Drosophila melanogaster: one gene and its partners. The protein of the gene in region 3 interacts with the protein of the main gene of each other region in a pairwise test. Each region holds a gene or a part of one and is shown on either strand. Other genes may lie near its edges.

The links.
Region 1: the proteins of Drsl2 (region 3) and Vkor interact in a two-hybrid assay, tested with the Drosophila melanogaster proteins (one large-scale study listed by BioGRID).
Region 2: the proteins of Drsl2 (region 3) and hoka interact in a two-hybrid assay, tested with the Drosophila melanogaster proteins (one large-scale study listed by BioGRID).
Region 4: the proteins of Drsl2 (region 3) and CG11007 interact in a two-hybrid assay, tested with the Drosophila melanogaster proteins (one large-scale study listed by BioGRID).

Annotation. Positions count from the first base shown.
Region 1 is NT_033778.4:16,773,424-16,780,987, forward strand, and holds Vkor (Vitamin-K epoxide reductase), read left to right. Parts: upstream 1-4,941; coding exon 4,942-5,111; intron 5,112-5,166; coding exon 5,167-5,261; intron 5,262-5,316; coding exon 5,317-5,510; 3' UTR 5,511-5,571; downstream 5,572-7,564. Other genes in the region: Sod2 (superoxide dismutase 2 (Mn)), read right to left, coding at 1-215, 332-366; Arp53D (Actin-related protein 53D), read left to right, coding at 839-926, 980-2,127; resilin, read left to right, coding at 7,125-7,564.
Region 2 is NT_037436.4:4,896,085-4,904,865, reverse strand, and holds hoka (hoka), read right to left. Parts: upstream 5,967-8,781; 5' UTR 5,870-5,966; coding exon 5,824-5,869; intron 4,590-5,823; coding exon 4,506-4,589; intron 4,452-4,505; coding exon 4,171-4,451; 3' UTR 3,997-4,170; downstream 1-3,996. Other genes in the region: CG13705 (uncharacterized protein), read right to left, coding at 6,581-7,876, 7,948-7,950.
Region 3 is NT_037436.4:3,309,616-3,316,644, reverse strand, and holds Drsl2 (Drosomycin-like 2), read right to left. Parts: upstream 2,297-7,029; 5' UTR 2,271-2,296; coding exon 2,058-2,270; 3' UTR 1,964-2,057; downstream 1-1,963. Other genes in the region: Drsl4 (Drosomycin-like 4), read right to left, coding at 793-1,008; Drsl3 (Drosomycin-like 3), read right to left, coding at 1,396-1,611; ZnT63C (zinc transporter 63C), read right to left, coding at 3,633-3,830, 3,896-4,130, 4,243-4,759, 4,818-4,915, 5,749-5,873, 5,939-6,115.
Region 4 is NT_033778.4:19,498,922-19,507,332, forward strand, and holds CG11007 (uncharacterized protein), read left to right. Parts: upstream 1-4,146; 5' UTR 4,147-4,266; coding exon 4,267-5,082; 3' UTR 5,083-5,673; downstream 5,674-8,411. Other genes in the region: CG15120 (uncharacterized protein), read left to right, coding at 698-869, 980-1,129, 1,198-1,358; CG16926 (uncharacterized protein), read right to left, coding at 1,603-1,718, 1,795-1,938, 2,008-2,131.

The DNA of each region.
Region 1 (7,564 bases), on a different chromosome or scaffold from region 3:
TGAAACGCAGGGCAGGAGCCAGCTGAATCAGCTTGGTGGTGTCGCTCTTCGACTTGGCCTCCTCCAGCTGCTCCTCGGCGGCATTTAGATTGTTGACGTAGGTCTGGTGGTGCTTCTGGTGATGCAGCTCCATGATCTCCCGGCAGATGATAGGCTCCAGGGCGGCATAGTCGTAGGGCAGCTTCGGTAGGGTGTGCTTGCCACGCACCGCCAGGCTGCAAAGGGTTAAGTGTGTCTTGTTTTATAATGTCCTCAAGATCAGGGTCGCCATTTGTTGCTATTTATGTAATCAGCCGGCATCGATTTGGGCATACTTTTTTTCGCAACTTACCTTGCAGTTTGCGAAATTTTACGGGCCACGAACATATCTGCGTTTTATTCGACTGCTAATAAGGCTAAGTCCCGATATCAGATTTTATATCAAATAAAACAAGGCTTACGTTCTCGTTATTTCGCTTGTTCTATTTGAACAATTTACTGCTAGAGATGAGCAGATGAGAAAATATCGAAAGACCCCAATCAGTCAGTGATGTGAGATCAACTTATATATATTGAAGTTAAATAGTAAAACTAAAAGAAATTAAAAACTATTTTTAATTGAAACATTGCACTGAAACATATTCAAATCATATTGAGGATTTCTTAAATATTTCTTATGTTTAAATACTACTTTAGTGACTATTAGCATATTTTAGCTGCTTACGTATCGACTGCATCCATTCGATTGATACTTGAATTAATCGATTTTTGGCCTCTGTATGTCATGGCGCTAAATTGGAAATAAACCATGAAATTAACGTCATAAGTTTAAAAATCCGACTGGAACACAGCACACAACATGTCTACATTTCAAATACCTTCCCGAATCAAAATCGATATAACAAATAAACGGGCACAGAACATTCTTCACAAATATCTACATTTACGTAAGTTGCTTAAATAAGCTAAAGATTTTATGATTTGACCATGATTCGTTCAGCAACCTCTCCTGGAAACATGAGCAGCGAGGTAGATAGTAATTCACACCACGCCGCAGTGGTTATTGACAACGGCTCTGGAGTATGTAAGGCTGGATTCTCCCCAGAAGATACTCCCCGTGCTGTCTTCCCGTCGATTGTGGGCAGACCTCGTCACCTGAACGTCCTGCTGGATTCCGTGATCGGTGATAGTGTTATTGGCGAGGCGGCAGCCCGAAAAAGGGGAATACTAACCCTAAAGTATCCCATCGAGCACGGAATGGTCAAGAACTGGGATGAAATGGAGATGGTTTGGCAGCACACGTACGAGCTCTTGCGGGCGGATCCAATGGATTTGCCGGCTCTACTCACCGAAGCCCCACTGAATCCGAAGAAGAATAGAGAGAAGATGACAGAGATTATGTTCGAACACTTTCAGGTGCCAGCTTTTTATGTAGCAGTTCAGGCTGTGCTCTCACTTTACGCCACCGGGCGTACTGTGGGCATTGTGGTGGACTCGGGTGATGGTGTGACGCACACGGTACCGATCTACGAAGGATTTGCCCTGCCCCACGCCTGTGTACGAGTTGATCTGGCCGGCAGGGACCTCACCGATTATCTATGCAAGCTGCTTCTGGAGAGGGGCGTTACAATGGGCACCTCTGCTGAACGGGAAATCGTGCGTGAAATCAAGGAGAAACTCTGCTATGTGTCAATGAACTATGCCAAGGAAATGGATCTCCACGGAAAGGTGGAAACCTATGAGCTGCCAGATGGGCAGAAAATCGTTTTGGGCTGCGAGAGATTCCGCTGCCCGGAGGCTCTCTTCCAACCCAGTTTGCTGGGTCAGGAGGTGATGGGCATCCACGAGGCCACCCATCACTCGATAACCAACTGCGACATGGATCTGCGAAAGGATATGTATGCGAACATTGTTCTCTCTGGCGGTACGACCATGTTTCGTAACATCGAGCATAGATTCCTGCAAGACCTAACCGAAATGGCTCCACCATCCATCCGAATCAAGGTTAACGCTAGTCCAGACCGCAGATTCTCCGTTTGGACGGGTGGTTCCGTCTTGGCCTCACTCACGAGCTTCCAAAACATGTGGATCGACAGCTTGGAGTACGAAGAAGTTGGTTCCGCCATAGTCCATCGAAAGTGTTTTTAGTTAAGGAGGGTGTTCAAATATTCGTTATGAGCAATGATTATTATATATTTTCTATTTGCTAATGAATGTAATTTCTTAAACAAATCTAGTCGATATAAAATAAACAAAACTGGGGGTTACCTACACAAAAATTAGTTGCATTTGGGAAGCACAAGGCCCATGTAACGCCCTTCTAACAGCACAAATGCAACACTATCTAAACTAACCGCCAGATTAACTAGCCCCCAGGTAAACTAACTCCCATATAAAAAATTCTTAGGTAAATTAATCCCTAGATCAAATAACCCCAAGTTAAATTAACCCGCAGATACAACATCCCCCAGCTAAAAACAAAAATCCTTAAAAAAAAACTCCCAGTCAAACGAACCTGGTGGTAAATTAGCAACAAGATAAAATAGCAATCATTGAACCAAACAAATAACTTCTAAACTCTTATTCTGATTAATTTCGAATGTTTTAGGCTAAATGAAAATACAAATGTGTTCGATTGTAACATCTCGGTGGGAATCACAATAACGCAGTAACCTTAACTTCAATTCAGTTGCACGTGCACCGGGCGACAACAAAATCCAAGTTTCAACTCTCAAAGCATTCGCCTTCGTAATCATAATTGTCAAGCTCCATCATTTCGCAGTCGTATGCACTTGGGCATACGATGCTTTTGTTTAAGAGCTTGACAAGATTTCGATCACGGATCTAAGCGTGGGGATTTGTTTAAACCAAACAGCACAACGCGTGCTGAAGACAGCAGCTGCCAAGTCAGCACGTCAGATTATAGGCATTAGGCATTGAAACTTAGCTCTTTCGATTGGAAGGTGAAGATAAGAACTTTATCCTGCCTCATAGATACCAACTTTCGGATCGCTTTCCAAATTCTATATAATGTTACACTCTTTGAGGGGTTCAATGTTCGAGGATCCGCGAGTGAATGTGTCTAAACTTAAGTTACCGTAGCACCATTAACAAAAATAGAATTCTATAAACTAATATTTTAAATTTGACATTTATATTCAATATCTGATGTCTGAGTTTTATAAAATTAAATTACTTATTACCTGATACTTTTGGTCAATGCCTAAGTTGCAAACGGCCAAATAATATATTCAAGTAATGTGAAAAATTAGCACGTCATTATGCTGCACTTTAATTCAAATTAATTGCGAATTTATTAAGCCAAATGATGCATACAAATGTGTGTGAGATTTCCACATCTGAACGCAGCAACCTTAGCTTCCTTCCAGTTGCACGTGCACCACCAGCACTGCCAACTACAAAAGCCAAGTTTCGATGCATTCACCTTAATAATCGTATTCATAATTGTCTAGACTCATCATTTCGCAGTCAGTTGCTTTTGGGCATCCAAGGCGCCTTTTGTTAAAGGCACTTCACCAGATTTCGATCACGTATCAATGGCAAACCTCGTTGGAGACAAATAACACAACGCGTGCTTGAGGAGATGCACCTGCAACATGGCATTAGCCATGTGTAGCCCTAGTTAAAAGTTTGGATTACCATTCTAAACTCATTCGAGATTTTTTCATCAGGAAGTTGAAAACAAAATCAGAACTCTTTACAACTGCATTGTTTGTGTTTGCCCATCTTGTGCATAAATGATTATCTACCTCAAATTATTCTTATTCTGCACTGTTTTTGTTTGAAGGTCGCTACGATAATAAAGATTAAGAGTAGTTATATATAGATATTGTGGTTTCGTTTGTATTGGCCCATTTCCAGTAGCACATTATAACGCAATCGAGCAGCTGAGCCCGGGTTTTGAGCCAGAATCGAATTGACAGCCGCTTGAAAGGGTTTTCCATATCAAATGGATATCTGTGCCAAGTCGCTGGCTGCGGTGACTGTTTTCATTTTTTTTATATGGCAAAGTAGCGAAGCCAAGGTTGCGTGAATTCATCACTTCACTTCACTCCTGGGGGCTGAGCTACTGCAATTTTGTAAATTGTTTCCATTCGGTTACCTCATGGCTAACGTGCATTTATATATCACTTTTGGATGGGCCCAGCTACTTTTGGGTATTTATTTTTTATTAAACACCCGAACATAGAATAATTCAAATTCGTGAGGCTATAAATTAAAAAGGGACACGGAACGAGCGAGTGGGTGGGCCCCAAAGATGGGGCCGCTGTTGTGAGTTGTATTCAACATTGTGTCATGCCGCGACTAGCGGCTCTACATGAGCACTCGTCTAGTCTGATTTGGCCGGGCAGAGATGTCTCTTGGTCGTCTTCGACTTGGATGATGTTGTCGCAGTCGCTAGTTTCATATGCATGCAATGGAGCGTGGCCTAATGCGATGTTGTTTGCGGCAGATGCATGTGCACGTTTGTCGGTTTAGAGGTGATAGTTCCCAGACTAAGGAGTTTCACCTTCTCCGGTAAAACCCACTTATATAGCTCGATTTGGTCACCAACCCCGAGTTGTTCTGTTTGCTTATAAATATTACCTGTTGCCTTTGCCCACCTGTCACATCAAATTAAATTGGAGCGAGAATTTATGCGAGCCCAACTGAGAAAACAAGGCGGATTTATTAGAGCAAGTCTAGACTTTAAATACCCTAACAAAAACCCTAACAGAACCTCAGTCGCATTTTTCAGGGACCCATTGAAAAATACATTATTTATAAAGCAAGTATAGATTTGTATTCTGTATAAGGTATATTATAAAACTAAGATACCCACAGTAAGTGTATCCTGTTGCCAACCTTATTGCGCAGCTGCGAACAGTGTTATTCCTTGGCTAACTAAATCTGAGCTGGAATATCCTGCTGCAATGAGCTCATTACCCAAGGAGCAACACAATGGAACAGGCGTACAGTACAGCTTCCCGACTGCGTGGGATTTGCGTTTGTGGATTGGCCATTTCGGTGTATTCACTGTATGTGAAAATGAAACTAAAGGAGGATGAGAACTATAGGCCAATGTGCGACGTTAACGATAATATAAGCTGCTCGCTGGTTTTTAAATCGGGGTAGGTAAGATTATAATATATACAATATAAATTTAATGAAATAATTTTCCATCAGCTATGGTGATGGCTTTGGTCTGGGTAACATAACCCAAGTAAATGCTCCCAACGGAGCCATCGGCTGTGCATTTTATATCCTGTACTTCTTGAGCTGTACGTAAATTTCTTAGTACAAACTAAACTAAATTTAATAAGCATTTGTTTTCAGCTTTCTTTAATCATCGTTGGCTGTGCCTGGTCCAATTGATAGTATGCACTTTGACATTACTTCTCTGCGTTTATCTGGGTTTCCTGCTGATTCTCGTGTTTTACGATTTCTGTTTGGTATGCGTGACCATCTATTTCATACACACATGGCTCTTTCAGGAAGTCCTAAGGCGATATAGACGCCTTTATATGTAAGATTTGTACAATGTTAAGACAAGCTAAGCAAAAATTATGAAGATAAATCCCTAAGATTAGTAGCTCAGTGAGTTATTTTAAACTGTCAACGTTTTATGGCGAATATCTCAATCTTCATCAGTCGTTCATTTTGTGACCCACACGTTTGGCTAAAAGCAGGATGCTGAGCCGGCGCATCTACCATTCCAACTCCCATGACCAAGCACGTAGTGGGGCAATTAATTCTGCACGTTCCCATTTGCCGGCGAAGGCTGTGATCTGTGATCCATAATCCGCGAATGGCGCTACTGCCAACAAAAGTTAAGTCGAGCTAGCCAAGTTAATACGGTGGGCGGACTGTGAAAACTCGACGCAATTAATTTCCCATAAGTTCGGGAATCCCTTTGTGTGGGCTGCTGTTCCGATTTGGTTGGGCTGAATAACTGAATCAATGGATGTGTGGAAATGTATACTGTGTGGATGCTGTATCGCATACCCTTGCAGATTTAAGTATCTATGATGAAAATAGTTTGAGATAATACTGATGATATTTAGCTATCTGAATCTTAACTTCATAGAATCTTCGTTTTAGCCACCTCACATATCTTGAATTTGCATCTTAACAACTCGCACAGATGATCGATCTTGTAGATTTGCCATGAAGATTATTAAGCTGTCATTTCGATACCACCAAGCTGCTCTGGATCTAGTTGGAACATAATCAATGCAATTAGTCTCAGTGATTCCAGTTTGCATATCATCTGCATACCCTTCATTTTCAATTGATTCTCTGATCCTCGAGGCATCGCCACAATCTCCAATCTGCGATCGATTCGACCCGTCTACACCCATCAGACGCATCTGGAGATCCTACACCCAATTGGGGTCGTCTTTGGCACGATCGTCAACAATGTATCGCTGGGCTTTTTATTATTATTTTTCCTTTTTCGTCGCTGACAAGACAAGGCAAACAAATGCAAACTTTGGCGCTTGTCATAGCAACCACTGAACCACTGGAACACTGAACCACTCGCTTGGGAGAGTGAGCCGCGGCAGACGCCGCCGACACATTCACCCAGTGGAGTAGACCGAGTAGACTACTTTGGGCCAACGCAACGGCGGATGCAAAAAGGTTTGGGGCCCGGGCACAATCACCACCTCGCCGCGCCTCGAGAAGATGTGCACCGAAAGAAGGCAAATCAGCCCGAGACCCAAGACCGAGGCACCCTTTACGTGGCAATCTGGCGCAGATCGGGGTGGTGAAGTGTTGGCAAGCAAGCTCAGTGATTGAGATTTTTGCTTTCGACCGCATAGAATCAGCCACCGCTTCTCTGAAGACGATCGTATGTGGCAGCCTCATCAGCTGCATCAGCAGCAACAGCAGCAGCAGCAGCTGTTGCGCTGGTTGCCACACGCTCCACAAAACCGCCACCTCCAACTCATAGTCGAGTTCGTGTGTGTGCATCCTAGACTTTCAGTTTTTCGGTTTTGCCTCATATAAATACGCCATGTGGCAGCTACCACAGATCAGTCAGAATTCGGCGCTGCTTCCAAGCGCTAGTCTCATCCCAAAGATTTCGATCAGTCCGTAGACCGAGCTTCAGTTCCAGCTTCAGCTTTAGATACAAGTGGAATATGTTCAAGTTACTCGGCTTGACGCTGCTCATGGCAATGGTGGTCCTTGGGCGACCGGAGCCACCAGTTAACTCGTATCTACCTCCGTCCGATAGCTATGGAGCACCGGGTCAGAGTGGTCCCGGCGGCAGGCCGTCGGATTCCTATGGAGCTCCTGGTGGTGGAAACGGTGGACGGCCCTCAGACAGCTATGGCGCTCCAGGCCAGGGTCAAGGACAGGGACAAGGACAAGGTGGATATGCAGGCAAGCCCTCAGATACCTATGGAGCTCCTGGTGGTGGAAATGGCAACGGAGGTCGTCCATCGAGCAGCTATGGCGCTCCTGGCGGTGGAAACGGTGGTCGTCCTTCGGATACCTACGGTGCTCCTGGTGGCGGAAATGGTGGACGCCCATCGGACACTTATGGTGCTCCTGGTGGTGGTGGAAATGGCAACGGCGG
Region 2 (8,781 bases), 1.6 Mb from region 3:
GGTGTTGGGAACTGGCTCATCCCAATCCAGTGATGTACTCGATCCGTCCTCGCGATATTGCTTCGCTAGTGTGATTTCTTTCAATATAATCTTTGCTGAAATTACAACTGGAGCGATTAATCCAAGAGGATCAAATAAACGTGCTATGGTCGATAGGATTTCTCGTTTTGTTATACCGGCTGGAGTATTTGCTAGTAATTTATAAGTGAAGCAATCTTGCTTGGGCAACCAGTACATACCCAGTGTTTTGATGGTGTCCGCATTGTCCCAACTGAGGGATGTCTGCTTGCATCGATGCTCGAGAGGTATCGTTGCCATCAGATCCTGGTCATTACTAGCCCATTTTCGTAGCTCCATGCCAGAGGATTTTAAAGCTAGCATAGTTTGCAAACTTTTCCGTATTGCTGCCTCTTGTGAATGATCGCCTGAGAGAATGTCGTCGACATATATCTCATTTTTGAGAACGTTGGATGCCATAGGATATTTTGTCTGTGTGTCTTCAGCTATTTGATGGATGACTCTTATAGCTGTATAAGGTGCAGACGCTGTTCCAAACGTGACGGTAGTTAAGCAATGCTGTTTGATGACTCCATCCGCCGCCCGCCATAAAATCCTCTGGTACTGCGTGTCATCAGGGTGGACATTGATACAGCGATACATTCGTTGTATATCGGCAGTGAAAACAAACTGATATTGTCTCCAATTCAAGAGAACGGCTGGCAGATCATTTTGCAGCGTGGGACCTACACATAGTACATCGTTTAACGATCTGCCATTTGAGGTCCGGGCCGATGCGTCAAAAACGATACGTTGTTTTGTGGTGAGGCTTTCTTCTTTGAAAACTGCATGATGTGGTAGCACGCATGATGCAACATGCCGACCGTAGGAATCCGTGGTTATGGTTGAGTTTTCGCTCGTCTCTGCCAACGTGATTTGACCTAGTTGAAAATATTCTTCAATTCCTTTGCAGTATCTGATCCATTTGTCTGGGTCCCTTTGAAGGCGCCTTTCGAGTTGAAGATATCTGTTCAGGGCGATCTGATGAGATTTTCCGAGCGTCATACTGGGGTCAAAGTTCCTCTTGAATGGCAAACGGACTTGATAACTGCCGTCTGGTTGACGTTGATGGGTCTGCTTAAAGAAAGACTCGCACCATTGATCTTCTTTGGAGAGCTTTGGGCGTTCTGGAACTGATTCTACCTCGCAAAATACCTTAAGCAGCTCTTCGGAGTTTATTATGGCATGATTACATCGAATGTGGCGTGTAATATGCGTGTTGCCAACATTGCCTAACAGAACCCATCCGAGTTGAGTATTCTGCGCTATGGGTTCGTTTGGCAAGCCAATCTTAGTTCCAGGCAACAAGAGTTGTGCCATAAGGTCGGCTCCAAAAATGATATCGATTCGCTTGGATCTATAATAATAGGGGTCTGCGAGCGTGAGACCATGGATATGACTCCAGTTTCCTGCTGGAAAACTTTGACTTGGCATGTGTGATGTCAACGTGTTCAAAACATAAGCATCGTCGACCTTTAACGAGAAATTTGGGTTAGTTGCTGTTTGCACCGAACAACTTACGATGAATTTGCAGCGTCGTCCTGAATCTTGACCGACTCCGGTGATTGAAGTGCGAGTTGTGCTTCGGGAGAGCTGGAGAGACTGTACAGCATGCTCCGAAATGATAGTTGCTTCCGATCCTTGGTCAAGAAGCGCGTTTACCGTGGCCTGGCATCCTGTCTGTGTGTTACTGAGTACAACCCGAGCTGTTGCTAGTAGTACCTTTCGATGAGTCATAGATGAAGTTGTAGTTGACATGCACTGTAGAGTCGGCTTGGCATCTGAACTGGCTGCTGAACTTTGGCATGATGTCGAGGAGGGTATCAGCGTTGGCTGTGTTGCTGGAAAATGTAACATCGTGTGATGACGTTGACCACAATGAAGACAATTCTTGTTGCTGGGGCAGCTTGCTTGTGTGTGCGATTTTCCCAGGCAATTGAGACACAATTTTGCCTTGCTGGCCACTTCCTTCCGTTGGTAGCAATCCATTGAAAGAAATTGCGGACATCTTCGAAGTATGTGTAAGTTGCCACAATGATAGCAAGCGGACGCGGAAGCACCCGACCTGGTGTGGGCGCTGTGCACACGCACGCGTTTAGTACCGTCTGAAGTTTCATTTGACTGTTTCATGCCGCTGCACGCGTTACGGCTTTCAATAGCGTCTAACGTAACAAGTCGATCATTGAGGAACTGTTGCAGATCTTTGTATGAAGGAACGTCAATCTTGCTGCCCAGATGATGCTCCCAAGCTGTGTGAGTGTCTTTGGGTAGTTTGGTTGTTAGATAATGAGTCAACCAAAAATCTCCTCCCTGTAGTGGCGCCTTGACGGTATTGCAAGCGGCAATGCAGACGTTGACTGTACTAACCATAGACCGTATGTCAGCAGATTTTTCTTTCGAAAGATTCGGTAAGTTGTAGAGCATGTTCATGTGGCTGGCGAACACAATTCGTGGGTTGTTATATCGTTGTAGAAGTGTGGTCCAAGCGACTTCATAGTTTGCTTCAGTTAAAGCGATTTGGCGAATGTCGTTGTCCAGGCCTACTGGTAATGCTTCCTTTAAAAAATGGAACCTTTGAATCTTATCCAGACGCTCATTATTGTGAATTAAGCGTAAAAATGCATCATGAAAACTTGGCCAGTCCGCGCAGTTGCCAGAGAATTTCGGAACTGGTAATTTTGGCAGTGGTATCCGTACTTCCTCTACATGTGTTGTTATTGTAGAGTTAGCTGATTCGTTGTGCGTCACTGTGCCTGGATAAATTCGTTTCTTTTCTTCGGCCACGAAACAGTAAACTTCCATGCCCAGGTCTTCGAATTGGCTGATTGTATTTTGTTGCTTATACACACTTTCTTCGTAGTCTGCCATGCATATAAGTGTGTGATGCGCCTGATGAAATTCTTTGTTAAACTCGTCGATTTGATTCAAACGTTTTTCGAAATATATTTCCGTTTTCCGCGCACTCGAGTCTTTTTTCACATTACTGAACAAGCGCTTCAAAGACTCAATGCGGTCAGTTTGAACTCGCACCAGTTGATCAAATTTCGACATTGTTTATACTGACGTTGCTCCACTGTATGTAATATGCACAAATGCTCGTATGTTATCGGTGTTCTTCTTTGACGTCTTGTTTTTTGAGTTGGCAGAGATTCCGGCAAATCTAACGGAATCGAAGGGCAACGGGACTTAGCTCTGTCGTGATGAGAGCGAGCGCGAACGTTTGCGTATACTGCTCTGTCGTGATGAGAGCGAGCGCGATAGAAAACGTAGGCACGGTGATTTATCTGGATGAAGCCGACCACGAAGATAAAATTGCCAAACAGCTTTTAGCAATTATTAATTATGATTCTTATGAGCAAGGTTCCCCTCATGGGCCACCAATGAATAGTTGTGATGCCTCACTGCTTTGACATCATTGTAATGGGGTTCGCAAATAAGAATCATATATACACTATTTAACTTCATTTATTTCTTCATATACAAAAATCACGTCTGATCGCTATGACCGCAAAATTACAATGGAGAAAGAAAGAATACAGTTCAGTTCAATTAGCATCGATATATAAAATGTTAATCCGCTGTTAAGACAGCTGAAGCACCGGGTGACTCCGCTCATAATCCGTACACCCTTTGATATTTTATATTGGGTGTAGCTTGAAAATAGCTAGTATTTCCGCAGCCCCAAAAGTAGGCATTAATTTGCTTACAAATCTATTCATCTAATTAATCTTCATCCCCAGCATGGGCTATGAAAAATCCAAAACTCAAAACCAGTTTGATTTAATTAGATATAAATTAGCGTTGCGTGTGGTGCAGACAATGAGTAGACAAACTGGATCGGTCTTGGGCGGATATTGGGCCGCTTAGCCGGTGCAATAAAATGTTAAAAGCCAGCGTGTATCGTCTTAAAAACCGTTTAACCGTACAAATGTGAAGCTAGTTTGGCGCCAGATAAGTGGCAAATAATTTTATTCGAAAATGAAGGTAGACAAAGGGCACAGGTTCTATTTGTGTGTCGATTAAATGACAATAAAGCTAGTTAATGGTGGAATTTGAACTGATTTGGAAAGGGTTATGAACCAAAAGTGGTCACTTGGATCTGTACACATCTCCTCAGACAATAGCGGTGGCATGCGTTGGAGTGGGAGTCACATTGGCCGTCTCATGAGTCTGGGCAGGAGTATAGGTTGTGGCCGTGGCCGGATCGTGAGTCTGGGCGGGAGTATAAGGTGTGGCCGTCGCATGAGTCTGGGCGGGCGTGTAGGAGGCCGCCGTCTGATCTGGTTCCTTGTCCAGGATCACCTTCTTGAGGATGAAGTAGAGGGCTCCACCAATCAGCAGCTCACCTACCGCTACACAAACGATGAGAGCCCATCCGGGAATAGCAAGGCCAGCTGCAAGAAATAACAATGTTGAGCAATATCGATCACGTATACGGCATCACTTACTGAAGTATCTGCGGGTAAGGGTGCGTCGTCCGCGGTTCACACGTCGCGTGGCCTCCGATTCTTGCAGGCAGCAGGCCAACAGTACTACAGAATAGAAAAGAATATACAAATTTAATATTTGTTAGACATAGTGATTCGTCCGAGGCGCAAAACACACATCATACACATTTTTTCAATGATCACGCGGCGTGTGGTCGAAGGTGGCCTGGTAAGATTGCGGCATTGGCTTTGAAGCATCCATCAAACCCAAGCCAAACGGAACTCATTGAAATAACAGCAAGACCATTCATCATATAGATCTTCAAATGCGCGAAGACTTGTTAAGATATTAACAATTAATCGTTGAGAAAATGTTTAACAACAGAGCCGGGCCAAAATCAACAAAAAACGCTGATTCTGATTGAGCCAAAATAGCGCGCGCGCGCCAACTTCTTCGATGATAAATGTGAGCTGGCATATTCCTTCCCCATTGTTCCATTGCGGATGTCAGATTCGATTTCACGTAAAATTATCAAAATGTATTTTTAATTAATAATATTTTATGTGTGTGTTCGTTCAGCTCATTCGGCATATTTTGCGTATGAAATATTAAATGGATTTGTTTGTCGATATGGAAAGTGTATAGATTTTTCCTCGATTCGATTAGTCGGTGATTCATGGAGACAGGCATTTGACAAAACCCATCCGCCAAATGTATGTGGCTAAGAGTGCGACCGATTTTCGTTGGCCAACCGCTAACCAATATTAATTGTTTTCATTCACTTTTTTGTCTAACATATTTCATAATTTATATGCGCAATAATTATGCCACTTCCGGTTTTAGGGCATTGGACTTTTGGCCTAATAAAAATTGCATGAAATCAAAGGAAATGATTTCGCATTTACTCACTGCCAGCTAAATTATATGTTTTATTTGGGATACCTTTCAATCCAAAAAGATTTCCCTCTGAACTCACTGATTCACCACGCCCTAAAGTTAAGCACACCAAGTGATGGGGCAACAATGAGTAAACACAGTGCTTATCTGAATCGCACTGATAAGCACACATTTTTGTAGAGTTTTCTTGTGCCTGATTGTGTGACGCACACTTGGCCCAGTTACTCATCGTTAGAGTCTCCAATTGCTGAAGTTGGGTTATTAAAACCCCACACCTATGGAATCATACGGATGCATCAGTGCATCATAATGCGTTAAAGTCTCACACATGCACAATACTCCGCCCACACACATGCACCAAAAAGTATCTCGCCGGTGTGCTGCGTATCTCTAGTTGGCACTCAAAACTCGGCAGATTCGAACGAGCATGCAGAACTTTACCCAGGCATATCACCAAGTAGGTGGAGCACTTCTTAGCCAACTTCATTTCCGTCGTTTTCGTCGGTTCTTTCGAAAAACTTATGTTCGCTTTTAGCTGTTAGCCAAGTTTGTAACGCGCACGTCGTCGACTCCAAAGTGGAACTAAAAACCTGTGCGTGATTGCATTCGTCGGCAGGTGCTAGTATCTTATCTCAAAGCACCTTATCTTTCATTGATAAGATTAGAAGGCTCTCTTTTCTCCCGCTATATATTACTTCTGAGGTCATCAGCACTGAAAAAAATAGTTTCATTTATGTTCAATCTAAAATGTCTCCTATATTTCTAAGCCTAACATGTTCAATATGCAAAATTCGTTGAGTTCAAGTCCTTACACAATATTTTATATCTGTACTATCGAAGGACAATAAGAGTCTTCTTTATTTATTGCCCATTTTAAAAAATATTTTTATAAAATCTTTTCACCAACTCCTTCGACTTTATAAGCTTTATCCCAATCCTAGGCATATTGTTTAAAAGATAGTTCGAATATTTAAAAATATTCTGCAAAAAGATATAGTAGTTGTAGGATATTTGTTTTAAAAATGTTTATTATTGTAAGTTCGGGTTTGTACTCGGGTTGTTCATAGTGGATTCAAATTGACTAATACGCTCGACTTATTGTTAGTTTCAATCTGAGACTGTCAAAGTCAGGACTTCTTCTGGAAAAACATCCTCGAAAATCTCAAATGCTGCGGTGGGAGTTGGCGCAATCGGCGGCTTAGTGGCGACGGAGCTTCAGACGACGGACGGTCTTGTAGCGGTAGCCATCGCTGGCCAGGACGGTCTGCTCGGCGGGCACATCAATGATGGCAGAGGCGGTCTCCTCCACGGGGGGCAGGTACTCGCCGGAAGGCAGCTCAGAGACATCACGGCGGCGACGGATCACACGACGCACGGTCTTGTAGCGGTATCCATCATCAGCCAGGGGAGTCTCCACAGCAACAGCCTCGGAGGCGGACTCCTCAACAGGGGGCAGGTATTCAGGGGACAGCTCGGAGACATCACGACGACGACGGATCACACGACGCACGGTCTTGTAGCGGTATCCATCATCAGCCAGAGGAGTCTCGACGGCAACGGCTTCGGAGGCGGATTCCTCAACAGGGGGCAGGTATTCGGCGGACAGCTCGTTTACATCACGACGGCGACGGATCACACGACGGACAGTCTTGTAGCGGTATCCATCAGCAGCCAGAGGGGTCTCAACAGCAACAGCCTCGGAGGCAGACTCCTCAACGGGGGGCAGGTACTCGCCGGAAGGAAGCTCATTGACATCACGACGACGACGGATCACACGGCGGACGGTCTTGTAACGGTAACCATCATCAGCAAGAGGGGTGTCCACAGCAACAGCCTCAGAGGCGGACTCCTCAACAGGGGGCAGGTATTCAGGGGACAGCTCGGAAACATCACGACGACGACGGATCACACGGCGGACAGTCTTGTAGCGGTAGCCATCATCAGCCAGGGGAGTCTCGACGGCAACAGCCTCGGAGGCGGACTCCTCAACAGGGGGCAGGTACTCAGGGGAGAGTTCGGAGACATCACGACGACGACGGATCACACGGCGGACAGTCTTGTAGCGGTAGCCATCATCAGCCAGGGGAGTCTCGACAGCAACAGCCTCGGAGGCGGACTCCTCAACAGGGGGCAGGTACTCAGGGGAGAGTTCGGAGACATCACGACGACGACGGATCACACGGCGGACGGTCTTGTAACGGTAGCCATCATCAGCCAGAGGAGTCTCGACGGCAACGGCTTCGGAGGCGGATTCCTCAACAGGGGGCAGGTATTCACCGGAGGGGAGCTCGTTCACATCACGACGGTGGCGCAACTTCAGGCGGCGCACGGTCTTGTAGCGGTATCCATCGTCGGAGAGAACTCCCTGCTCGGCGGGCACCTCCACGAGTTCGGAGGCAGATTCCAGGTTGTTGTCCACTGGCGGCAGGTAATCCGTGGCAATGGAGGCCGCCGAGGCAGCTGCGATCACAGCAAAGGCAATGACAAAGAATTTCTGCAAGGCAATAAGCGAAGGAGAGGGTTATGGGTTAGTCCTGGTCGCAGGATGACTGCTGGAGAACTAACCATTTTTCCAGAAGATCCAAGACGATGTCTGCTAGATTAATCCAAAGTTGATTCTGTTTTCAAACCAGACCCAACGACACTATTTATACACAAACTGCGCGAAAAGTTCTCGGCTGACCGATGTCCATTCACTTTGCGAGATCAGATGAACTGAGATGAGCTATGATGATCGCTGAGCAAACCGGTTAACAAGCGGCGAACTACCGCATCGATCGATGGCTTCTTCTACTGGGGCCGAACTCAGATTTGGATTGTCTAGTTGCTATTGTCAAAAAGTGTCTCAAGCACCAATTGAACTCTGGCTGGCCATATAAGATGATTAGCGCGGCCAGCTGCCAGAAGACAAAACGAAAGTAAACAAAGACGAGCCGGCGAAGTCCGCAGATTTGTAGATATTTTAGATTTGTAGATTCGTAGGCAGATGGAACAATGGTCGAGGGCTCTTCGATTGTCTCGATTATTTGCATCGATTTATGTCTGCCATATGCTTGAATAGATCGGATACATTTGTGACAATCCATTACCATTGGTAATTGCAAGCGGAAGTCGCCGCTTTTCAATGTATTTTTGGATGCTCTTGCCTCTCGGATCTCGATGAGCGCTTAAGGCCAAGATCGGCCGAAAGTATTTATACGCCATCTCGATTGATACGCGCTTGATGGTCCATCGAGTGTTGCTATTTTTGGTTTTTGCTCGCCACGCTCCATTAGGCGGCTATAAATAGATGAATGATTTAAGAGATCGCCACTTTTCCAATTTTTAATTTATATTTTTAAGCCGAAATAGCGTAGATGCTCCAATTGAGCGGCAGGCAAGCCATAAATCTTGCGGATA
Region 3 (7,029 bases):
TGATAAGACAACGAAAACTGACTTCAAAAAGTATTCTCTTTCGAGATAATGATCATTACGGTAAGTGTCTAAGAAAAGTCGCATGAAATTTCGTTTTCTTTTTAAAAAGTTTCACTGCCATCTTCTCAGTTAGCAGTTGAGTAAGAATGCGTAGTTTTTCTAATGGAAAATTAAAAATGGCTTATTAATAATCTGCCGACATTGATTTTATGCAATGTGCCATTTATCACGAGACTTCTAGGAAACTAATTAAACCAGTTTCATTAATTAAATTTATTCATAAATTGTAAAACTGTCGAGTTTGTTAGGAAAACCCAGAACCGGATTCAAACACCAAACTTGCACTTTTCGATGTAACACGGTTGATAATTTGTTGGAAATATTAACATGACAAGATTATCTTTATTTCCCATAAAGTGATATGGGTGCTGGTAAATGAAGATTTGTGTTCATAAATGAAAATGGCCTTTCCAACTCTTGTTAAGACTGAAATAGTCTATGCTTTTTTTTTCTTAAATGCTTATTATGAGTTGAATTATATATTCCACTTCTTTCTAAATGAATTTTAGCTTTCTATTGAAGTTAACTCTGATTATTTATCATTTAATTATTTCTTCCATTCCATTATAAATCTCATTTTCGAAGTAAATTTATGATTTTAAAAGGATTCGTTCTTTAAGTAGAAATAAAACTGTATTATTTGCTGTGAAGTATATTCTTTATTTTTCTTTTCAAAACAATAAAAAACATATGACACACATATGTGTCAAACATATTGGACGATGAGGATCCTCAGCATTGTTCGCACCAGCACTTCAGACTGGCACTGCAGTGTCCACTGACACGTCCTTCCTCCCTGCAGAGGCGACGGCACTGCTCTCCATCCCAGGCCCAGCAAGGACCACTGAATCTTCCAGATGGGCAATCCACGGCCGAAGCCGAGTTGGCCACCATTAGGACAATGGTCACCACAGCGAGGAGAGCAAACAATCCTTTAATTTGAGCCATTATTAGAATGTTCTTCTGGTTAAAATCTTTACTTTTGAGTTTCTTGAGTCCGACTGCACTCTTATATAGGTACAGAATTTGTATATTAACCGATTAGCATAAAGGTGAAAATGCAAATAACTGCAATATAACTTTCGAAAGGCATACTTTTGGGCCTTTTACGCGACAAAACGCGCATCGCTATTTTGGGATGATAGAATTGCTATACCTTCTTGATGTTGATGCACCTTTTTGTTTAATATACTTACCACATACATATTAAATCAAATCAAGAGATAACTCCTGAAAGGCAATGCTTACGTGCCTTTTACTGTGCGGTGTACAGTATATTTATTATTGGCTCAGAATAAACAAAAAAACAGCATGCACTTTTGAACTGCAGTGGATCTAGCATCCTTCGCACCAGCACTTCATTGCGCCACTGCAGTGTCCACTGACATGTCCCTCCTCAATGCAGAGACGGCGGCACTTTTCTCCACTCCAGGCCCAGCAAGGACCTCCGAAAGTTCCAGATAGGCAATCACGTGCCAAAACAGTGTTGGCCTCCATTAGGACAATGGTCATTACAGCAAGGATAGCAAACAGGAATATCATCTGCACCATGACAACTGATGTTTTCAACGAGTCGGGAATTTTACTTGAGTTCTTAAAGACTTTTGGCATCGACCACTCGTGGGGACGCTTATATAGAGATACAGATTTTAAGATTTTTTATTTGATCGTAGCAATCGATAAGCTTCTCGGAAATTCAAGCTAACAATAACCGATATAATCCTAGTTTTCCAGAAACACTTGATTTATGTGTGCCATGTGTCAACTTCATTGATTTAAAAATGCATCGTTATCATAATAAGTTATTTACCTAGAATTGCTATCTTTTCGATTTAATGATGTATGTAAACATTCACTTCTCCTAACACATTGCCATACAGGAAATTAAAAGACAACAGTGCGTATGAGTGATAAGCGTAAGAGGCCTTTATATTTATATATTATTTGTTTAGAATGAAATATTCAATATACACATTTCAAATGGATATAGTATGGATTCAGCATCCTTCGCACCAGCACTTCAGGCTGGGACTGCAGTGGCCACTGATATGTCCCTCCTCCTTGCAAATACGTCGGCACATCTCGTTGTCCCAGACGGCGCAGGGACCCTTGTATTTGCCGGAAAGGCAATCGGCATCAGCCATATTGGCGGCCAGGACAACAATTGTCATCACAGCCAGGAAGACGAAAAGGAATTTGATCTGCACCATTGCAACTGATGTTCCGAACGAGTCTGGTACTTTACTTGAGTTCTCGAAGACGTTTGGTATCGACAGCTTGTGGGGACGCTTATATAGGACTACACCACCTCCATGCATTTCCAATAATCTTTTTTAGCACGTTTCAAAATCTTTTGTGATGCATTTGCTCAGTGGCTAGGTGCCTCAACTTTGATGTCACACATGTGCTCCTATCTGAATTCGATAAGCTTCCAAGAAACTCGAGGCAGAGCTCGCAATCTTGCCCATTGCTGCAATCGATAAAATGAATCAGGGAATCAGGAAGTACCAGTGACCCCTGATTGTATCGAAAATTTCGACTCCAAAGAGGCATTTTATCAAATTGTATACAGTTAGTTCGCTTGGTCTAATTATGTTTGGCGTTTATTTACAAACATATACATCTGAAAATTAATGCAGATCATAAAATAATACATGATGTTTGCATTAAATGTATAGTCATTATAAAGTTCGATACGATTAAAATTAAATAGAAACTAGGTTCTCGGTTGTGGTAAAAACATTTACATATAGCATTACAACTACTAAGATTTAGGGACTATGTCTAACCATACACAAACACAAATGCGTGTATACCTATGTATTTTGTAAACTGTCTTTAGTCATTTGCTAATCCGTGGGTAACTATTGAATACAATAATTTATTTCACGTATGTATAAACTTTCTCAAAATGTAAAAAACGTAGTACATATGTATTCTCTGCTGTTTGGGCTCACTTATCGATCTAAACTAATGCAATTAACTACAATCGAATAGGTTTAACATACTATATAGTATATGAATGACATCCTGAACAGCATGTTCCTTTAAACTTTGTGTCTCCCGCACTAATAGATAATCGTGTTCTTCATTTTCATTTTCATTTTTGATTTCACTTTAATTAAACTAGCTCAATGGTCAATCGACCGAACTTGTCCCACTCTCATTTACGCCTAAATTCCACTAAGAACAAATAATGATACAAAAAAACACGAAAGCTGCACCATGGCAGACCAGTCTCCATTGCAGCGGTTTGCACAATTAACGTTAAACTAGGCTCCTAATTAGAGTGCCACCTCGTCGCCATTCCTGGTACTCAGTGGTGACACCTGCTCCTGATACTGCTGTTCGGCCTGCAACTGAAGCTCCCGTCGCCGCTGGGCGGTCACCGTCAGGCCGAGATTGACGTCCACCTGTGCGCTGGAGACCACTAGGTTGTTGGCGCGTGGCTCGTACATTATATCACGTATTGATGTTGCTGCTGCTGTTGTGGCGGCCTTTGTTGTTGCGGTTGCGGTTTCCGTTTTGGTCGTGGCAAAGTGTACATGTTGTTGCGCCTGATGTGGCTGTCGTCAAACCAAATCGCTCTTCGGCGTTGACGTGGCCCCTATCGCAGCCACGGGCGCTCCTGTGCTGGCCCCACCAGTGGCTCCCTGGTTGCCACTGGACGTGGCCTCCAGCAGGGAACCCGCCTCCACATCGCCGGCCTGTCGGGCGGCATTCCGCTGGCGGCACAGATACGGCGAGTTGGTGGGTGAGGGCAGTTGGTTCTGTAATTAAGGTTTATACTTCATTATACAATTCTACATGTTCCCATTAGACTAGATGAACTCACCAATTTGTTGTTGTTTTGGCAGCACGTGGCCTTGACACATCCTTCTTCCGTGGTAGGACAATCCAACGCGCAGCAGTCGGAGCCGCTGATGTTGATGCTGGAGGTGCCATCGGACATGTTGCAGCCTTCGATCTCGCTGAACTCTGGCTGAATGGTGGTAGAGTGGATACCCTCGTTGTGGAAGAACTCCTTCACCTTTTCGGCAATCTTCATGTACTCCGAAAGGTTACGGCACCTACAAGGTTTACGAGAGATGGATTAGATTGCATTAATTTGATTTATAAATGGTTATAGAATTAATTTTTCTTTTTAAACAGGCAGTTACTCTTTTAACAAGTAAATCTCACCTAATATGGGCAGAGGCGATGATGCGGTCGCCGGCCAGTTGCCACACATGGAACTCGTGCACAGCCAGCACGCCATCAACTTTCTCCAGAAGCCTCTTCTGAATGGCATCCACCTGGATGTGGGTGGGCACCGTTTGGAGCAGAATTAAAGCGGACTCGCGCAGCAGCGGCCACACGGAGTGCAGGATCAAAACAACCAAAACGATGGACAGAGCGGGATCCATGTAGTACCGGTACTTCCACTCCGTCTTCCACACCACCACAGCACTGATTACGACAATGATGCTGCCAAGGGCATCGCTCAAAACGTGCAAGAAGGCGCCGCGCATATTCATCTGGCCGGGATCATGGCTGTGTCCATGGCTGGATTTCTTGACCGGTGCCTTTTCCTTCTGCTTCTCGTAGGCAAAGTCGTTTTGCTCATCCTCGCCCTCGTCCATGTTGGCCAACTCAGTGAGGCGGCTGTGGTTACGGGTGAGTCCGCCGCCATGTGAGTGTCCATGGTGACCGCCGTGCTCTGCAATGCAGATGAAGTTAAAGAACGGCCTACTCTTATCTGTATTACTTGGTCTTACCGTAAAGCAGACAAAGTCCAATAACATTCACCAGAAGACCCAAGGCTCCCACGATGACAAGCAGTTCAGGCTCGTGAATCGGCTCCTCCTCAATGAATCTGTGATAAATGGAAATGTATTGTTTTATTTAAACTGTATTAAGATAACATAACGAAAGCACTCATCAAATCCTATGTTAGTTTATTATTTTCGACAGTGTAGCTGGCTTCTGCAGGGAATCTGTAGCTATTGGCAGAATAATCACCTCGCAAAGCGTTCGATAAATATGCACACAATGTGACCGGAATGTAAATGAACAAAGCGTATAATTCACACAACCCAATGCACAAATACAAACCGAAATGTGACGATATAACGTGAATGTATCACAACAAATTAACTCACAGACGGAGTAAGTCAAGAAAATTTAAACAAATCACGTTAGCACATGTCGATGCCAAGGCAAGCCTTTTGCTCATAATACGGCTTGGCTTACAATTGTCAGATCATTAAATAAGTGGTTTTTGGGTGCGGATCAACGATCCGTAATGAGTCGAAATATTAAAACCATTTGCGTTGCGGCCAAGGAGTAAAGAGTAAGCGAGTAGTAATCCAAGTTAATTAGTTTCAGAGCCACGTTTAATAAGCAATGAGTTTTAAAAGCCTCGTTATAAAACTTTAATCGAATTTATACAGAATTTAATAGTATGCTGACACCATTGTAACATATTTTTTGGTTTTTTTTTTCTCAGGAATATAAACAAAACCAATCTCCAAGCCGCTTAATCATTCGATTGGTACTTTGCTTGTTATTTAAGCATGTAATGACTCATATAAATGAGTAGAGATTTTCGCTTGGCGAGCAGATGTTTCAAAATTGATTCTATTGCAGCTTATCTTAGTAGTGTACATTCTGCAAACAATGTTATTTGATTGATCACAACGCACTCACCTTTTGCAAGCCTCGATGGTGATGCTGAAGCACAAGGCCACCAGGAAAACGGCGTTGACCAAAGCACCCAAGACTTCTGCCCTGGCCCAGCCAAAAGTGTTCTTTGACCACTTTTTCGGTGACATCTGTCGAGATAAGGAGTTAGCTGAGTGATACACGTTGTATTTTTCGGTAAAAGCCAGTAACTTACCTTCACAGACAGGAATGATATGACCAGGGCCGCAATGTCGCCCAGCATGTGGAAACTATCCGCCACCAGAGCCATCGAATTGGTCACATAGCCCACTATGATCTCCACGAAGAAGAAGAACGCCGTAAGCCACATCATCGAGAGCAGCCGGCATTTTTTGCCCGAGTACTTGGCCATTTTGGAGAAACTGCAAGAGGGAAGAAGGTGCACGGATTAACAATTAATTGAATCTCTTGATCTCTAGAACCATTTGATTTTCTTACAATACAAAAATTGGAGTCATGGAAACAGTAGTCGGCGAAACAGACTTCCCCCAATTTATTTACCAAAGAAAGCCATTATTGGACTTGGAGAAGTTTGGCTGTGATGTTATGCCCCCATCTTATACATTTTCCATCAATATGGCTTTCGAAATATCAATCAAAGCTCGTTCTCAGTTCATTCAACTGCTTTTTTTATGCAGTCAACAAATAGCCTGCCAAGCTCTGAAATTGTTATTGCACAAAAAAAAAAGATACTGAGACACGCACGCCCAAACAAATTACCAACAAATTGAGTTTTTCAATTGTTTTCCATTGTTGCTGCTCGAACAGTTTTCCATTTAGTTTCATTTAGCCCTTTGTTTAGGGAAAAGTTTTAGTACCCCATCGGGTAGGCATTTAATTGAAACCGGCTATAAGAAGAATATGTGCCCGGTTTATAGGGTCTGAAAAGGGGGCTTGGCGACGTTTAAATGGTGTCTCGGTTGACTAGATCTGGGATTTCCATATCGGACTCACGCAAAAAACTGCATTTCGGCTTGGAAGACTCTGCAGGACTGACTGGCTCCTCCGGCGTTGAAGTAACTTATATGGCTGGCTCTATTTCAGATCGAGAACGACTTGCCAGCCATCGAGCGCGTTGTGTAAACAATAACAGAAATTGTTTCAACTGAATCGACAGCGAATGAAAGTGTATCGGCATCGGTCGAGAAGTCCCCGGTTGCCAGGTGAAATCGAGGAATATATGGTAATGCCTGGGTCTACGGGGTGGTAAAAACAAAAGGGTGACGTTGCGCATTCTCCAATACAGCTACTGTGGCGACGGTGACG
Region 4 (8,411 bases), on a different chromosome or scaffold from region 3:
CGCATGAGTGTGTGTGTGACCCCTTTGGCTGGTTCAATGTCACAGACCTTGGATGGCACTCCATATTCGATGTGGAGTCCACATATGCGGCGTATGTCATTTGGGTGGTGCGTTTGTTTATCTAGGCCGAAATGCCGTCGTGACAGGAGAGTGATATGTGAGTGACACTGCCTGATTTACGTCACGGGGTCGAAGGTCGATGTTGGGGAAACCCATATGTGAGGCTCACGCAGCTGCGATGCCAGCGATGTCGCCTTTGACTTAAATATAAAGTTGCTGTCTTCTTAAAATCAAAGTAAAATTCCTATTCTGAGTCATTCAGTCATATATGCAATACAATCTGGTTAAGATAGTGGGTTATATTATAACCCTTTGTTAGCTCAAATCAACTAAGCTAAGCTGGTAACTATACTCAAAGCAGACTCTCGAACAAAGATTAGTCTAGACTTAGCACTGCAAAGTCTATAGGCAGGTACAGGCCCATTTCTCGATGTGTTCTAAAAATTTTCCACTGACAACGTAAGCAAACAAAGAGCATCTTAATGGAAATCAGCTAGGGCGCCTAACCGGCATGGCGTGCAAATGTACACTTGCAAGACTTGCGCCACCGCCGGTACACGAACCAATTTCGAACTTGGAGCGGCTCTATTCACCTTTGACCCGCCAACGGTGTCACCTCTTCCCGTATCTCGCCTAGGTGGACATTGAAAAGCTGGACTACAGCCTCTATCTGCCGCTCTTCTTCGACGGACTGGCGGAGACGAAACATCCCTACAAGACCTATGCCCGCCAGGGGGTCACGGATCTCCTCTTGGCCGGGGGCGAGAAGATACACCCGGTGATACCGCAATTAATATTGCCGCTGAAGAGTGAGTACCAGGGCATTGGCTGGCACGCAAATGCCTCGAAGTTTTTCGGTCTAATTTGCACCTTGCCAATGCGAGCACAAAACCAAAACCAAATACGCCCCCATTTGCAGACGCATTGAGCACACGAAACCTGGAGGTAATGTGCACGACATTGAAGATAATCCAACAGCTGGTCATGTCCTCGGATTTGGTGGGACCCGCCCTGGTGCCCTTCTACCGCCAGTTGCTGCCCATGTTCAATGCATTTAAGGTGAAAAACTGTAGGTATTCCACTAAACTCGATTACTTCCAGTAACTTCCATTGAAGTGGATATTCTGTGCTGTATAGTAAACTGCGGCGATGAGATCGACTATGCCCAGAAGAACAATCTGAATCTGGGGGATCTGATCGATGAGACGCTGCAGGTGCTGGAACTGCATGGCGGCGAGGATGCCTTCATCAACATCAAGTACATGGTGCCGACCTACGAGTCCTGCTATTTAAATTAAACTACGCCTCATGGTCTTGTCCCTTTACATACAATATCATAAGTATTTATTGAATTTTACAAAACATTACAGCATTAAATAGATATTTGTTACCAAAGTGTTATGTGCGTTTAAATCGATATATGCTTGAGATTATAGTTGTGTATATATAATATATAATTGATTTTGACCAACATCCTGGTGGGGATGCTAGTCGCGTTTGGGGCACGTCAGCTGGAAGCGAACGTGGCCCCACTTTAGGTCATCACTTGGTGGGGGCGTACTCGTTCTTCTTCACATTGTGGGGGGAATAGCGATTGTACAATCCCCAGATGGAGTTCATCAGCTTGTCGTTGTACTTGTTGGGCGAGTACTCGCGTTCTGGAAATGCAAAATTGATGCGTATGAGCTCCATTGACCCAGCGGATCGAGATCGTGGATCGTCATGTGCACTTACGGGTTAGGGCGTTCCCGTTGTCAACGGAACCCTTATCTGCGGCAGCGGACCTCAGACGGGCGATGATCAGCTCACGTTCGTTGAATTGCTCGCGAATCTTGCAGGCTGCGAATGCACCTTGTGGAATGGCGGCCATCTTAACAACTGGAGGCGGAGGAGGAGCATCAAAAGTTAGTTATACATTGTAAATACATGGCTAAAATCACCACCCACCACTTAGGGAAATAACGCTCAGAAGGGAGATGATGAAGTCAAAGTTTCGCAATGGGCTTGTATTCCAGCACTCGGTGAAATGCTGATCGAGATTGATGATTTTTCCGCACTGCTGCAGCAGCATTCAAAGGCCAAACTGAAAGTCCGGAAAAAGTTTGTGGGATAGGGGATATTTCGCTTAGATCGAAATGTGTCCCAGTTTCTTTGGTTTTTGTTTTTTATCACAATTTCAACTATGAATCAGATTAGGCCAATTGGAATGGTTAGCTTTGCACGATGGATTTGGCATTTGATGCCTGTCGTTTTTTCTGGGATTTGCTCGATTGTCTGCGATTGTCTATGTCTGCTACTCGGAGATGAACACTCAGCACAAGGGTTCGGATTTAAACTGAAGACGTCGCCTGGCTGGGAATGGAATTTATAGAACGCGTGTTCGGATCGGATCGGTTCGGCTCGGAGCTGCCGCCAAGTGATAAGCGGGAGACAGGAGATCAGGCTGCCTTGATAGCGCGATTATAAAGCCGGCAAGTGATCGCCATTTTGTGCCACTTATCAGTTGCAGTTGTCATTGTTTTGGTTTTGCCTTTTTTTTTGTCATTTCCACACACAAGCCTATTTGTTTCCAAGCTCTACGGGAAGTTTCGATGGGGCTGGGAAGTAGATTTGTGTACTTGATATGGCTATCAGAGCCCTGGATCTATAGACCAGTTTTGCTTTTTAGCCGCAGCCAAGATGAAGGGCTCTCGTTCCCATCACGAGTGTCCCTGTACTCAAATGGCTGACAATCTTACGAGACTTTATTCCAAACCAGATTAATCCGGCTGCCAACACACTATAGCATGCTGGCAAAGGCATTTGTGATTATAATATTATTAAAAACTGACCTAAGTGCACGTTGTTTACTGAAATTTTCACTTCATTTTTGTTTTGGCGCAGACAAGGTGCAAAAGCATCAACACCTTAGATTTGACTTTGATTAGTCATGATCTCGGATTTTCGAAATATTTTCTGTATTGATTCCCTATTTCATTTCTATCAAGTTGTACAAAACAGTGCACTTGAAAAAATCTTATTTTGTTTTAAGTTAATTGTTTTTAATATATTATTACCAAAGACACTAGAATTCTTATTCTATTGTCTTATTCTAGTGTCTTTGTTAATACTTTTTTTACTATAAAGTGAATGATTGGTTGAATTTAAATATAAAGCCACGAGAAAGTTGTTTGATTCGATAAGGAGGTTACTAATAACACAGTTGAAAATATTCTATAAATAGAAGCAAGCTCACTTTATTTGCCAGTGTATTGAACATAAAATAATCGCTGTATAAACAAAGAACGGCCTACTAGTGAAACCAGTAAAGAGGTGGGTGATCGATCCGATGGGGATCATGGAGATGACCCTCGTAAATTGGTCTCAATAATACGATTAAAAATAAATCGTTTAGTCCAGTGACGCGCACAGTGTTTACTACAAAAAAATTAATCTTTGCACAACGCGGAGAGTCAGCCACGATGGCGATAATACTGGTGATGCTCTATGAAGTGGGTACAAAATTCTCACAGTATTCACACAGTTCCAAACACATTTAATTTAGGAACTACAAAAAAAAAGGCCAAAATAATATTTGGGTGATAAGGCGACTGATGGAAGCCACGAGCGTCTGAGATCACGTAGAGAGCCAAGCTTTTTCGCAGATTTGAACTCGGCGTGTGTGCCGATAATGAAGATCCTCGATGCCTTTTTTTTACCTTTTTTTTGCAGTGGCCTTTGTGTGCTAGGTCAACAATCTCTCAATGACTTTAGCAAAATGCTGATGTAACAATAACTCGCTTATCAGTTTCGGTTGGTTTTCGGGCAAACAAATATGGTTGTCCCAAGTTCTGTTTATGGTTTTAACTTTTGATTAATTATCATTTAAAAAAAATGCTAAATACTAAATACTAAATACTTGTAAGATAATAATGCATATAAGTAAATAAAACGTATCAAAGAACGTTTAAGAAAGGCAAACTGTTAATTGATGATTTTGAATTTGAAAAGGCGCCAACGAACTAATACCATTTCCAGCACTGACAAGAGTGCCACTGTTCTTTTATCAGGTGGCAACGCCCGTGCCAGACAACTAGGCTGCTAATTTCTAGTCAACGGCGAGGCTAAAATTAACAATTGGCTGTCAAAAGCAAGAAAAGAAAAACTCGGGAAATTGTTAATTAAAATCGTGACCCAGATCAGCGCATTCAGCCCCCGGACGCAGAGATGACGTGGAAGAAGCAGATGGCTCTGCTGGCCAAGCCATACTACTGGGTTAACATACTCCTGGCCATATCGTACCTTTTGGCCAAAAAGACGCAGTTCATCTGCACCCGCCTATTTATTCTCGCCGGAGAGGATGAAGCATGCGACCTGGACAGTCGTGAGGTGGAAATCTTGTTCTTCCTGCTAATCGTGGTGATGATACGGTCACGCAAAACGGGCAGTGTCACCATGATTAACTACTTGGCCTCGTCGTTCCTCTACACCAAAGTGGCCAACGCCATTTTGTGGGCCTACGCGGACTTCCGCTACGGCCTGGGCTTTCTGCTTCTATGCGTCCTGGTGGGCATGGTGCTGCCGGAGCCCTCGTATCGCGGACCCGAGCACATCACCTACTTCCGCAACGCACAGGTCTTCGAGGAGGAATTGGCCAGGGACAAGCGAACCAGCTGGCTGATCTGCTTCTACACGGTGTGGAATCCCAGCTGCGTGAACTTCGCCCCCGTTTTTGCTGAGCTCTCCGCCGAGTACAACACGGACCACCTGAAGTTCGGCAAGATTGACATTGGACGCTTTCCGGACGTGGCCCAAAAGTATCGCATCTCGGACAGCAGCTTCTCCCGACAGCTACCAACTGTGATCCTGTTCCAACAGGGCAAGGAGACGGACCGCAGGCCCTGCGTCGATTCCAAGGGTAAACTGCAAAAGTTCTTCTTCTCCAGCGACAATGTGCGCGCCACCTTTGGCCTTAACCAGCTGTACAAGGAGGCCATCGAACGACTACCCATTGCGCCCAAGGAGGCCAAGAAGGTCCAGTAGGCTGTCCTGTCCACCACTGGTGCCATCTCATTTCTGCGTGCACGTGCTAATAACTGTTATTCGTTTAGTTCATAGTTTATTTTAACTTATTGAGGAGCTGCCACCGCCAAAGACACGTACAATTGCACTAATATTTGCATTCTAAACTCAGACGTGCTCTCGTCGCGATGCCATTGTAGAAAATATTTGTATGATCTTGCATTTGCATAAATTGTAGCTAATCACCAGGTACCAAATATATTTAAAAATGTGAAATGAGTCAACGAAAATACGCAGTTCTTTTTTAATTCCCAGCCGAGTCTAACATTTCATTCAATTAGCACAGCTCAAACGATCATTTCCGGTGCTCGTTTAAGAACAAGTAAATATTAAGATGGACTGGACAAGCGTAAATTGAAAGAATGTAATAAAGAACTTACGCTGTATACAAATAGCTAGTAAAATAGTGAAAATATAGAGAATGAATATATAGTTTCAGAAAGGTGCCCATACTGGTTTTCGGTACAAATGTATATAAAGTGTTTGTGACAACCCACAATTTTATGACATATTTATTGTATTTTATACGTTCTGACTTGCCGCTTAAAACAGAAACCTTCGTCGTATCCCCCCGGTTTATGAAATATAAAACCAAATGGGCCCGTTGTTGCTGCCAATGTGTTGAGCAAAATTGTATGGCAATGCAAATGGCACAACAAAAATGTTTCCGGCGTGTTGCGTTCTGTTCCGAAATGGCCCCGCAGACATCGGCCATATAGACAGATCGTATATGGATATATATATATATATATACATAAGAACCCAACAGGCCAGACGCAGAACGAAATAAACGCAAATCCCTTTTATCCATTCAATATGAACACACATACGTATAGAGAAACGGACGAATTTAAATGCATAAATACAGGCGACTGCACACCAATCACCACCCACCGCACACCGCCCACAACCACCCCCCACAGATGTGAGCAAGGCCTTTGTGGTTAATATTTGTATTTTTCTTTACTTTCATTGAAACGGCATGAAAATGGCCATTGCATTTTACGTGAATTGTATATGGTAAATAATGCGATTGTCTCACACGGCCGTTTTATTTGCGGAAAATTTAAATTCGCCATGGCAATTGGGACAAGATTCACACCGTCCTGAAGTAATTATGGGCCACTCTGTATCGCCCCAACTCAGCACCCGCAACAACCCAGACCAGTTGCCCCACACCCATTCCCACCAACCAGTAATGATTTCCAAAGGCTGTCACCCGCTTCTCACGACGAGAAATCCAATAAGCACTTGCTCCGCAGCGGCAACAAAACGCATTGTTGTCGCTATTTTCACGTTGATTTCCCTTATTGCCACGGGAAAACCGGTGCTGGCCACATTCAATTGATTTTGAGTGATTTTTTGGCAAGTACCCTGTACGTACACCGAACATGGAATCTTATTTAAGGGGAATATTGGTAAAAATAAGTAATAGGTATGTACGTTATTTTAAGGCTTTTGCTTTGAAAGAAAGATATCATTTAAAGTATATTCCAAATATTTTAAAGGATATTTTAAATGGTGATATGTAAGAAAATCATAGAATATATTTTCTTTTTATTTTTATTCCTTCCTATTTCATTTTACTGTGTATTGTTACGTCTGCTCCGTTTCGGTGGCAGTATTTTTATTGCGTTTTTATGTCAACACCAGCTGGCAGCGTCTTAATATCCTTCGGTCGAAGTGCTGGATTGGGTTCTTGTATATTTCTGTCAATTGCTCACAATTAAATTAAAATTCAAGTCAAAGCCAGCCGCCATTCAGTTTGCAGAAAAAGCCGCAAGTCAGGACAATTGAAGCCAAGCTCAGGTGCTTTTCCTTACTATTTAAAGTGTGGCGCTTAAAAGAGATTAAATAAATCAATTTGGTTTGAAATATCCTTGGGAGATATATTGCCCAAGAGATTTAGTATTTTATTTTTAAGTTACAATTGCCTATTTTATAGAGCTGATTTCTGAGGTAGATATTGGCTCGTTGAAGAACAAAACAACGATTCATAAAATAAAATCTATCTTAAACTCTTTCAATAAATGAAAGACAATGGGAATTTAAAATAAATTGTTACATTTCACATGCAAGTTGGCTAAAGGATTTTGTAAACTCCTTAAACAAGCGGTTAAACTCCTTAGTCCGATCTGATAAATACTTTTCGGATTAAAACACCTTTTGGTTAAAAAAATGGCCCAAATAGTGCACAGTAAAGTGTAATTTGTGCCTTGATTTCTTAGTTTATAAAATTAGGATCACACCAAAAAAAAAAGTAGATCCTTCTCCGTGACAATGCATATTGCAGCATTGCCGTGACCAGGATTCGAACCTGGGTTACCACGGCCACAACGTGGGGTCCTAACCACTAGACGATCACGGCTATGAAGGCACTTGAATTTACGAGCGTCAATCGCGTTCATAAGTAGCTATAGTATATGTGTGGCTAAGACTAAAGCTTAAGCTGGCGCTATTTGCCTGCATTTCTTTGCTCGAAAACAACTCGTTTGTGGAGCAACTACCGCCTCTAATCGCAGCAATACCCAGACCAGCAACAACCGCAGCAGTGAAAGTCCAAAGCACTCGAGCAAGACAGACAAAAGCCACAAAACCGACAAACCGTCAGCCGATAAACAAGATTTTGGCTCATAAATTAATTGGAATTTGCCAAGCCAGCACAAGTGGGCTTGCTGGGGGGCCAGAAAGTGGGCGTGTTGCTGGGCTTAGCGTTTCGATTGAATTCGGTTTGCTATCCGCATCGTTTTGCTGTTCGCAGGGTCGAAAATCCGGATGGTGGGTAAACGTTCCCAAAATAAACCACATACGAATAAATTTAGAACGCTACGAAGGAATTCATAAAGTTGTATATCTCTAGGTATTTAAAATATTTAGTTATTTGCTTTAGCAGTGCTAATGAATAATAGCAATTTGCTGACATTTTCAGGTAAGTTTTCACTACTTATTCTGAATCAGATTTTAACTATAACTTATATATGTTTCGTTTGACGAAGTTTCTTATCTAAAACTCACCCCATAGTGATAAGAACATACTACTCTTATCAGGCCAAAGACTAAATATTATATATTATGATCAATTAAGCAGATTGCAGATAATAAATATGCAACTGAAAAAAAATATGCCAGAAACACCATTTCATGTCGACACTTTTTTGTGTGCAAACACGAAAAGTCCATAGAATATCATAGCTACTGGCATTCATTAATTTCGCCATAAATAAAAATGTTTGCAAAATTGATGTCTGTATTCATCTATAACAGGGGATTAATACTTTGTTGCACCCTTG